Linked DNA regions of Danio rerio. The protein of the gene in region 3 interacts with the protein of the main gene of each other region in a pairwise test. Links are inferred from orthologs where the notes say so. Each region holds a gene or a part of one and is shown on either strand. Other genes may lie near its edges. The genes, in order: lmnb2, lmna and tmpoa.

Region 1 (3,655 bases), on a different chromosome or scaffold from region 3:
TTTTTCGATTAATTGTGCAGCTCTAATTGCAGGTTTTCAGATGTAAATTTGAGAAAACGCGGGATGGTCTTTAATTAATACCAAAAACAAAAGTTTTTCACAGACCCCAAAATCTACAACAGATGCCTCCTTTAACAACATTACTAAAAAAAAAAGTGAAAATAATGTCAAAGTTTCAAAAAGTCCTGAAAATATACTACAGTAATTTATAGTAAATACTATAGTGTTTTAACCATACTGACACTGACACCTGCAATAGAGATAGAGATGTTGCACAATCAGTTAAAATATTGCTAGAATTGTATTTTTATGCATGGCCGATCACCAAAAATGATTGAGGTCATGTCCATATGTTGTGTCGATATAGGGATTATTGTGATAGGCCTAAGTCCTACAATGGATGTCAATGGCTGCTTTTATTTATGAGTATATTCTAATGTTTAGGTGCACTGTCCCTTTAAGATTTTCAGTTGTGCTAAAAAAAACTACTATAGAGGTCAATGGCTGCTTTTTTCCAAAATTCTTCAGATTATCTTAACAAAAACTGAGCGTGATAAAATTTTTAGGTGCACTGTCCCTTTAAGATTGTTTAGTTGTGCTAAAAAAACAAACTATCTTATTTAAATATAAAAATTTAGTATATTTTAAAAATTTTAGGTGCACTGCCCCTTTAAGATCCTCAGATGTGCTAAAAACTACCATGGAGGTGCGTGGGTACTTTTCCATAACATTCTTAAAAATATCCTATTCAACATAAACAGTCAATTAATTTTTAGATGCACTGTTTCTTAAAATAAAAACTACCATGTATGTCAATGGTTGCTTTTTCCCCAACATTATTCATACAGAATATCAACAAAAACAGCACATTTTATTGTTTAGGTGTACTGTCCCTTTAAGACTCTCAGTCGTGATCAAAACAAACAACTATGGATGTCAAATGGCTGCTTTTATTCCCTCAACATTCTTCAAACTATCTCATTTAACATAAAATCAGAGTACACTTTAATTTTTAGGTGTACTGTCTCTTTAAGACTCTCAGATGTGCTCAAAACTCAAATAAAAATCCCCTTGAGCGCAGAGGCGTGTGCCAACCTCAGGTTTGTATGATGATGTGGTTTACACAGTCGCCCACAGTCAGAGCGCTTAGCAACAGACTTCCTGTTTGTGTGTTGATTAGCAACGAGATGTGATGCAAACTGCAACAAGTTAAACCTGAGCAGGATTTCGCTACGACCGCTTTATCCGCGGCAGCAGCAGATGGGGTGGGATTTAAAGTCAGGTTAAGTAAGCCCGACTTAAGTGGAAAGACCACCAGTGACTTAAAGCCTTATGGGTAATTAAAAGACTGGGATAATAAAGCCAACAGGCGATTTCTGAGTCACATGACTGGCTAAAATGATGTATTATTGTGCGATGCTCACTTGCGCGTGACCTCCTCAAGCTCAGAGTTGACTTTTCCCAGCTCGATCTGAAGTTTAGCGCGCTCGCGAGCCGTTTCGTCCAGCACACGGCGAGCATCGGCCAGTTCAGCCTCATATAGAGACTTGATCCCAGACACCTTAAACACACACAAACACACACACAGACAGACAGATTAGCATGATGACAAACATGACAGATCCTGGAGAAACTGCAGCAAACTGAAGATCATGCAGTAGGGCTGAACATTATATCAATATCTCAATGCAGCGCTCGCAAAACTGCTAGCCTGGTGTCCAGGGGCTATAATGTTTTCCAGTCGGCTAACAAAAATTGATCTACTCTGCCCATTGGACTATCTTAATAGGAGGAAAAATATAGGCCATTTCAATGCTTTAACAATATATAAATCAAATGTGGTTATTGTCAAAAAAGCCTATAGTGAATGCCATTATATATTTTTTTATTTAAGTAAACACTTTTGTTTTTATTCAGTAAATATCCTTTCTATTTAAGCCATTTGAATTTATTTCGGGCTACCAAAATCTGAAGCGTGCCTGCCCGAAAGGCTACTAGCGATTTGTAAATTTTGCAAAGCCTAAATTTTGCAGATCTATCCAAAAGTCACATCGCAGGATTTGATTATTTATTAAAAGATGAAAGTATGAAGATATTATTGTATGCAATTATTTATACAATAACCATGTCATTTACATTTTGATAGTTCAATTTCTATAGTTCAATACTTTTAGACTCCCAAGAAAACCGTAAAGCACCATTTACTGAACTTTTATCATTTTTAAACATGTTTGTAATTTATAATATTTATCATGCAGATGCACAGCATTGCAAAATCCATAATCCCTGCAATTGAATGAATGAAATCCTTCTAACTAAAGCTATATTTAATTCATCTTGTGCAATTATATTCGTATCGCTATTTAAAATCGCAGCAAAACTAAATATGTCAATGTCAGTTTTACCAAATATCGTGCATAGGCATGGGCCGGTATGAGATTCTGACGGTATGATAACCTTGAATAACAAATATCACAGTATTGGGATTTCTGCTTTCAAATAAGTTATTGTCAAATGTCTGGGTAAAAAAACAGCAACTTTTACCTCAAATACCCAATAATATTACATATTATATTGCACATATTTTATTTTAACAAACATTAAAAATATTTTGGAACAGAAGCTTTTGATGTAGAGGTTCCTTTTCTGATCGAGATACTGTTGCCCTAAAAAAACTCAATAAAATAGTTGTGAAAAACATGTAAAAAAGTATATAATAATAATAATAATATAAAAAAAAACGTACATATATCTTAGGAATGGTATAACAGAGAACTTTGGTGGTTTTAAAACCCTTGACTTTTCCAAACTGCGGTAAACCTTGTAACCGGTTATCATCCCATGCCTTGTCATTTTACGTTTGATTGTTTAATTTCTTAATAAACCATAATGCGCTATTTATTTATTTTTTATTGTATTTGTGCATGTTTATGTGCTTGTAATTTCTTATATTGCATGTAGATGCACTGCAAAGAAAAATCATCAATCATCCCCAGTCAATGTAATTGATGAAATCTTTCCAAATGGAGCTGTATTTAATTCATCTGGTGAAATTTTATTCATTTCACAATATCTAATCATAGCAAAACAAAAATATGGCAACGTCTGATTTTTCCAATAAGGTGCAGCCCTATCATGATGCGTTCAGGATGCTAACACTATGCAGCGGTTATATCAGAAACATAAAAAAAAAAAAAAAAAAAAAAAAAAGTCAAATAAATAGATTTAGTTTCATTAGTCTATATCTCTGTCCTGGAGGGCCGGTGTCCCTGCAGGGTTTAGCTCCAACTTGCCTCAACACACCTGCCTGGATGTTTCAAGTATACCTAGTAAGACCTTGATTAGCTTGTTCAGGTGTGTTTGATTAGGGTTGGAGCTAAAATCTGCAGGACACCGGCCCTGCAGGAACAAGTTTGGTGACCAGTGGTCTATAGAATTAGTTTAATATGAAGAGCAGACATCTCATTCTGGCGTCTGCATTAGTAAGCTTACTTTATCTGGACAGAAAATTTAAACGTCAAACTGTGGATTAAATAGTTATGTTGTTATTCATTGTAACATGTAATTTTGTCAAAATTAAACAACATGCTTATTAAAATAAAACTATGATTACAAAAGGGTAAAACCTAGTAGTTTGAAAGATATTAGTTCAATT
Region 2 (4,257 bases), on a different chromosome or scaffold from region 3:
TGTAAAAGTCCCAGAACATCCAAAGACCTACAGTATAAGAGAGACGTCTGACAGCTAGACGAGTAACACTATCAGTTCTGTACTTTCTCTTCTCATTCTCTCGTCGCATTACCTCACACAACCACTGCATTCCCACATAACAATGTGATTCCCTAGAGCAAATGTCTCTCCACCCGAGTGGCATTTCTGACATCTGTGACAACTAAAAGCAGATTATGTCACAATCAGGAGTCACGATCAGAAGTTCATTGTGTGCAGTGATTTCGGGGAACAACCTGCAGATTTTTTTGGGGAGAATTTGGGAAATTTTGCTGAGGCAGATGAGGTGGATTTGTGCTCTAGACTGGTGGTCGAAAGGTGGAGATGTTAGGACATACAGTATGTGTCAAATTACAAGACATGACAGGTTCCAACCAGAAAGGAATTTCGTGACACCTCCGAATTACAGTGTTTAAATCATTTTCACATTACTTCAAATGTAATGGCATTTAACTGTTAATATAACACTTAAAATCATTCCCAGTGATTAATTTAAGACTACAAATGAGTACAGCCTGAAATCACTGTATTTATTTGAGTAAAATGCTATGCTGTTAAAACTGTTGAGTCATGCATTGGGAATGAACATACAAATCGTTCTGTCTTTCTCTATGAACATCCCTAAAATGCCACTGCTATATGTACTACAGTAAACATGGCAGATTAAAACAAAAAAATACAAAGTACAAAAAAAATTATAAAATAATAGTAAATAAAACGGCAATAAAATAAGTAGCTAAAGTACAAAAATTACTAAAACCGATATATATAATAAAAGATGTTATTTTTTAACCCAGACATTTAAAAAGAACTTATTTTACAGAAGTAATTACAATATAAACTACGAATATAAATACTATATATATATATATATATATATATATATATATATATATATATATATATATATATATATATATATATATATATTATTTGCATGGCACATGGGTAAAGAAATCTTTTGGCTTTAGACATCCCCATTCTCACGAGTTTCTAAGTTCTCTTACCCTTCCAACTGAGTTTGTTCTTCCGAGGCAATCTGGAAACACCTCAGTGCTGCTGCGAATAGCCTTGTAAATACCTGTCCTGCTTATTTAAATCACCTGCTTGATTAAACTAATTAAATTAAAATTGACCGGCACAATGGATGGTTTTGTAAATAATACTGAAAACAGTTTAATATAGGTTTCTCTGAAACGGTGAATATTTCACTTTCATTTTATTTAGGCTAGATTATTATTTTATTTAACAAATCAGTTTGCGTTTTGGCGCTGAAGCATATAGTGAACTGGTTTTGTAGCACTCAGATAATATTTATTATTGTTGTTTATCTAGTAGATAACCAACAAATAAAAAATGTATTCAAATTAGGATACAAGGACGTGCTTTCATTTTCTCAATCTCACTCGCGGCAAGTTCAGTTGAGGGAGTGTTTAAGCAAATCATATACATATTTATATATATATATATATATTATATATATATATATATATATATATATATATATATATATATATATATATATATATATATATATATATATATATATATATATATATATAAACAGGAAACATAAGTTTGATCCTATCAGTTTCGTAACAAATGCCCTTAAATAATAGGCCTATAGCGTTTGACAGCAAGCACCAGTGCTTTTCAGGTTGAAATATGAATAAGGGATGATGGGGCAGGGTGGTGCTGGATATGTGCGTTCTTTTGAATAAAATCCTGCAGGCCCCTGACTTTAGATATTACTCTAGAGAATCATTCTAATACTAGCTCTAAAGTGACGTTGGTGAAGTAGCAATGGTTTTTGCTGTTTTGACATCAGCTTCAGATGTGAATGAATGGTAAAAGAAAGTAGTTCCTCATTCAAAAGAATTTTTAGACTCTGTTTGATTTTCTTTTTTAAACACAATAATGCCGTCAAACTGTTGTATAAACGCATTATCACACGAGTAACAGTGCGATATGACTGTTTATTGTCACTAGTGGAACACTAAAGCATGCAAACACGTTTACGCACGGCTCCCACCAGTGCTGATATACAGCCATATCACACTGCTACTCGTGTAAAATTGCTATTGCTCATATATAAAATATAATAACTTTCAACTAATAAAAATGAAAATAAAAAAAACTTCAATAAAATATTTTATTAAATAAAATATATGTATTAAATGAACTTTAAATACTAAAACTACTAAAACTTAAAAATAAATTAGTAAAAAAATACAAAAGAACAAATAGGCCCACACTTAAAAAATGAAAACTAAAAAAAATATCAAATAAAAGCTACATTTTACTTTTTAATACTATAACCTCAACTGTAATTGTAGCGGTAAAAAAACGAATATTTTTTATAAAAAACTAACAACATTTAATAATTAGCAGCAGCATGGCATGCATGTAATTTTTATAGAATACTTAATGTGATTGAGAATACTGTGAGTATAGCCTTCAAATTTTATTCTTTTTTTTTTTTTTTTTACAAAATTGTATATAATTTAAGGCATGCCAAAATGACTAATTCAGGACTAGAGACGGGAACTGCCTGGGATCAGCAAGGATATATTTGAGAAATAATTATGCTGTTAAAACTGTTGAGTCATGCATTGAGAATGAACATACAAATCTATCCATTTATAAACACGACATAAATGCTGTTGCTACGGACTACAGTAACCACCGCAGAAGATTAAATGTTTGACCAAAGATTCAGACAGGGAAATAGTGACTCACAGTTGCCGAAGCCCAAAATCAGGAATTGTTTGCAGGCGTCATGGATCCACCATCGCCGCACACTAGCAGAGCAGTGAGTGCAGCAGAATGATGGAATCGTGCGGCGTCCTCTAGTGGCCGATACATAGAAACGCAGAAATTTACCGTGGTCTACAAAAACATACACAGGTAATGAATTTTGACTGAAGTATTAAAAAAATCACACATTTTTATCAGGCTCCCATTTAGTAACTTGACGAATAGCAATGAAAATTTTAGTAGCTTGATGTATATGCCTTATTTTCTTAGCATTATAGTGACTGTGAAAGATCCTCATGATTCTGATCAAAACAAACAAAAGGTAAGATTTGCTAACTTATTCTTATTTTTTTTAGCACATAGACATTTGGCTACATGAAACATTAGGTCAAGACTATTTAACTGAAAGTCTGATTGACAAAACCCTGTAAAACCCTGGTTGCTAACTTTTTAGCAACTTGTCATAATACCCTAGCTTGTTTCCCTAAAAGCACCCAGCAACAAATTTAGCTATTTTTAACATTCATTTGGCTTCATTTAGCAACTTTTTAAAGAGTGTCTCAAATCAAAAGAGCAGTAGCTACTAGTGACTGCAGGCTTCGGCTAACTCTAAATCTAAATAGCTGGGCACAGAAGAGCAGCCAAAATAGTTCCTGGTAAACCAGAGAGACTGAAACGCATTTCTAGGACAGCAATTCAAGCACCCTTAGAATTTTTAGAAATTGTTCTTCCTGATCCGTCCAGTAGGCGGTGGTTGGGTTAAGGCATAGGGGTGGGGTAAGGCCATATTTGATCCTAGAAATGTAATTCTGAAACTGCAGCCTCTGGTTGTGCAGCACCAGCAATATTTGTGGGCTGAATGCAAGAGCAGTAGATAATATTTCACATTTTGTTAACAACCATTAACATGTAGGCTATATTTTTTGTACATTTAGATAGCATTAACTACCAATACATTGATATAATTAAACATATTTCAAATAATGTTTTGCTAAGATGGGCAGTCTATTTAAAAAACTCATGGATTCATTAATTCATTCACTTTTCACCTAAGTCCCTTTATTAATCAGTGGTCGCCACAGCAGACCTATCCCTGGGAAACATCCATACACACTTATTCACACACATACACTACGGACAATTAAGCTTACCCGATTCATCTATAGCCCATGTCTTTGAACCTGTGGGGAAAACCCAGAGAAAACCTACGCGAACATAGGAGAACATGCAAACTCCACACAGAAATGCCAACTGACCCAGCAGGCACTCGAACCAGCAACCTTTTAGCTGTGAAGCAACAGCTCTAACCGCTGCGTCACTTCGCCACCCCAAAACTCATGGATTATTAGTTTAAAGATACATCTAAGCCCAGCAACCCCCCCCCCCCCCCCCCCCATCCCATTTTACATAAACAGAACAATATGGTTAACATATTTTTTGTCAGTTCTTACAGACTGTGAA
Region 3 (4,146 bases):
TCTCTTTACCTTCTCTTTAATTTCATGTGTTTTACGCACTCCACTGAAGACATTCATTACATTTGATTATTCAGTTACTGTATTAAATAAAAACTAAACTATTTACTAAATTATTTTACTATAACCCCAATAACAAAAACATTACCAAATGCTGCTTGTTTACAAGTCTGAGAACATATTTCAACATCCAAAATTACTTACGAATTTAAAGAATATTACATTTCTAAGCTACAAATAAAAAATTTTGGATTTAGCATAAAGTTTCAGAGCAAACTTTTGCTTTTCTGACATTGCTGGTTTGCGATAAGCGATAAGTTTTTTTCTGACCTTCAGTCCTGTGGCTTAGCATATGCCGTTACACACACATGCTTCAATACTAAATGTCATCGCTTTGGAAATTAGCAATAAAAGCAGCATGATGTTTTTGGTTAACCACAATTTGCCCAATTATGGCTTTTGCATCAGAGCTTCAAGACCCGTTTTATTTGAACACAACAACTCTCATAACTCTCACTATGCAGTGATGACATAATCAAATCAATCATCTTTATAGGTCACGATTGTTGCAAATTCTAAACCGTGCACAACAAAACATCCCAGAAATGTGACTGTGAGTGCGTGTCGAATGTTTCTGAAATTACTATCTCAGACACAGGAGCTTCAAAGAGGAATGCAACACACACACATCTGGCAGCCAACATATGAATTCCTTCACACAAGAATCTATTTCCTCAATAAAGGGACCAAACCCACTATAAAAACAGCCTTGTGCAGTTCTTGAATTATTCTACAGCTCCTAGACCTGCAGCTATCTGCTCAAAGCTTTTAATATGGGGTCTATAGGGCTGCATAGTATTGTTATTATTATCATAGTTTGTATCATAACACACAAAATAAGAAAATAAAATAATAATTGTGATTTATAAAAAGACTAACAGTAAATGAAGAAATATTTAAACAAATGATAAATAAATGCACAAAGTATAAACAGTCATCTAAAACACTGAAAACTCTTGAGTCTTAATTTAAGAGATCTACCTTACGAATGGATTTCAACCTTGATAAATCACATACTCTAAAGGGTTTTATTCCTAAAGAAAAACCTATTGCCAGACTATATAGATGAAGAGAGAAAGAAAGAGAGAGAGAGTTAATGGGAGTAAAATGCTGTGCGGGAAGATTTTAGAATGACAGGCAGCACTATCTCATTCACGAGCACTGGAGGTGCCCTTAACATCAAACATCTCTGTAAAACATAAAAGGACTCCTGTGTAGTTGCAGGGGTGGGGGAGTGAGCTTATCAGGTTGGTTATAAAAACAGAACCAACTACAAACTTGTAGTATTCCCGCTTAATAACAGCGTCAACAGACATAAAATTACATCTGATAGAAAAAGGTGAAGAAAAAAGCACCAGGCATGCACTAGAACAATCCAAAACTACAGACTATTGGTTTATGAAATAGCAGCAAATACAAGTGAAGGGAGGAAAACTCCCACTTCTCTAAGTGTTTACCCAGATGTTTCATTGATTTAACAAAACTCAAGAAGCCATCTCAAGGCTTAGTTCGCTGGATTTTAATTTATAGGTTATTAATCTTCCCATATTTCTCATTCAAATTTGGGCTTTTACATCTTCTCAATGGCAACACCTTAATCAGATGTGTAAAAGATTACACAAAGCAGTGCACTTTCATTTAGAATACTTAATAATCCCTACAAAGTCATGCATTTATGAATTTGCCAGATGGAGTTATGGCTTTTGAACTATTATTAGTAATGCAATGAATCAGGCCAAGTCATTTAAGCGGGAAACTGTCGCAGGGTAATGAGTAATAGGATGTTCGACGAATAGGAATCGGTTCTTTTGAACAATTCATTTCAAATTTTGACTCATTAATGGAACTGCATTTCCTGACATCCAGTAGCAACATATTATAGCAATAAGCATTCAAAGTGTTTGATTATATTATGGGTAGTTTATAATATTTCCATTAGCCTTAGTTGCACGGATTAAGCATATATAATTTTAATATAATGTGTATTCATTAAACATCAAGAGCAAAACAAGTCCTCGACTATAATATTATGTATCTATTTTAATAGTACTCATTAAAGTAAAAATTGAGGTTCACAACTGTAAATCTCATTCAAGCATAGCACAAAGCACAAACCACATTTATTTGAAGGAATCGTTCAAACCGACGTTAAGTGATTCACTGAAATGATTCAAGTGAAAAGTAACGATTCGTTCACAAACCGGACACCATAGTAAAAAAGTTCGCCATGCCGGTTTGTTTTCATTTGCGAGACATGTGCAGGCTCACACTACACACTTACAACAATAAACTTAATAATACCAACCTCTCAACTTTTACCAAACAAACAGGCTTTTAAAAGATACATGCCTTGATAAAAATAATAACAATTCAACCTGCGAATTACGTCAACCACATCTGATTCACAATCCATGTGTAGCTAAAACAAAGCAAGCATCTCCAAACAACCCACCCTGCCGGAGCGGCTCCTGTTGGAGACCACGGGCGCTGGAGGAAGCTCCTCGTCGCTGGAAAAGACATCTGGAGAGCCGCTACTTTTTTTGTTTTGCACGGTCAGATTCTTTAAGTACAGCTGCACGTACACGTCCTTTCGCTGATCGCCGTTCGGGAGAGCAACATTATTGGCCAGCAATGCACTTTTAAGCTTGTCTTTAGTAAGCACGGACGGGTCTTCCAGAAATTCCGACATGTCTGTTGGTTCCAGCAGGACACTATCGCTGCCTGGGGCTGATTTCTTTTATGGGATCAGTGACCACCTTAGGAGAGAGACCCCTATTGGATGCGCGCCGCAGAAAGGAGCCTTCTGATTGGCGGGTGGACTATTTAAAATCACTGGCGATAAATAGACGAGTTCGACCTCTTGTTTATAGGAGATTCACTTCGCATAACGAGTAGAAAGAACAATAATTAAGAATAAGACTAAAAATTAAACTACTTAACAGCTGCTTCATTGAGGAAGTAAACAATACGATATAAAAGTGACAATTCATCTAAAGAATTAATACAATATAATGTATTTTAAAGAATTTTGGAGGCAAATAGGAAATTCAATGCATACTGGTTTCCACCATTCTTCAAAATATCTTCCTTTGGGTTTAAAACAAGACATTTTGAAAAGATGTCCAATTCTAAGCTGATTTTGAGACAGAATTGTCATTTTTTGGTGAACTGTATCACCTTAAGATACAACTCATATGTGACTGATCTAGACATACACAAATAAAGAGAAATATTCCAGATGATAAAGGTACAACATTTTATTGGCCAAATGATACAACATATGTTGCAACCAAAGACAAAACGATTAAAGAACTTAAGTCACTTTAAAGTTTTACAAATTTCCCGAGCACTCATGGAAAACATTTACCACAAGTTCACACTACTATTGATAAACACTTGAATAGCAAGTTCCTCAAAAGCACTTCTGCTGAGAGATGTTTTCAAACTGAACACTGAGCTCTTGCGATAACAAACAAATTGTACTGAAAGCACATTATAACACCAAAATAAAACAAAACAAAAGTAAATCTCAACCAAAGTGATCACAGTGCTGCAGAAACCGACCGCTTTTATACCAAGGAGCTGACTGATGCTTCATGGCTATCAAAGAAAGAGCAGGCAGCTGGAGGATTAGCATTAGCACTAGCACTCTCAGCTCTACCGCCGTCTCCTGATTTTCCACAATGCGTACGTGTGGGTTTCATCTTCACGTTTAAAAGTCATGCTTGGCAGCGCGGTCTGTCTCTAGTGAAGAAGGGTGGTGGCACAGCACTCTGCTGGGGTGTGGTTTCTTGACCCGTCCCGTCCCCTGACCTCTCCCTGTCCCGTGATCTTTCCTCCTTTGCCTCGTTGTCTCTCTCTTTTTCCTGACTCAGGCCTTGATCTCTGCTGGAGGGCAGTAAAGCGCTTCAGAGTTCTCTGATGACAGCTCCTCTGTAAGACAATGTGAGGTTTTACCATAGGATACAATAATAGGTTTATGCCTAACTATAAGGGAGTTCTCATGAGAGGGTAAACAATAATCACTGGTAAAATAATTTAGAGTGTATTTTAAGCATAAATGAATATTTATTGTATTGTACACATTGC

The links.
Region 1: the proteins of tmpoa (region 3) and lmnb2 interact in a two-hybrid assay, tested with the Homo sapiens proteins (2 studies listed by BioGRID, with this or other methods). The link is inferred for Danio rerio from reciprocal best matches to the Homo sapiens genes TMPO and LMNB2.
Region 2: the proteins of tmpoa (region 3) and lmna interact in a two-hybrid assay, tested with the Homo sapiens proteins (2 studies listed by BioGRID, with this or other methods). The link is inferred for Danio rerio from reciprocal best matches to the Homo sapiens genes TMPO and LMNA.

Annotation. Positions count from the first base shown.
Region 1 is NC_133197.1:3,269,388-3,273,042, forward strand, and holds part of lmnb2 (lamin-B2), read right to left. Parts: intron 1,562-3,655; coding exon 1,425-1,561; intron 1-1,424. UniProt on the Homo sapiens protein: Lamins are intermediate filament proteins that assemble into a filamentous meshwork, and which constitute the major components of the nuclear lamina, a fibrous layer on the nucleoplasmic side of the inner nuclear membrane.
Region 2 is NC_133191.1:33,787,005-33,791,261, forward strand, and holds the start of lmna (lamin), read right to left. Parts: upstream 2,854-4,257; 5' UTR 2,779-2,853; exon of another isoform or gene 2,446-2,778; intron 1-2,445.
Region 3 is NC_133179.1:17,461,865-17,466,010, forward strand, and holds the start of tmpoa (thymopoietin a), read right to left. Parts: upstream 2,805-4,146; 5' UTR 2,747-2,804; coding exon 2,510-2,746; exon of another isoform or gene 1-2,509. Other genes in the region: strap (serine-threonine kinase receptor-associated protein), read right to left, coding at 3,929-3,990. UniProt on the Homo sapiens protein: May help direct the assembly of the nuclear lamina and thereby help maintain the structural organization of the nuclear envelope. Possible receptor for attachment of lamin filaments to the inner nuclear membrane.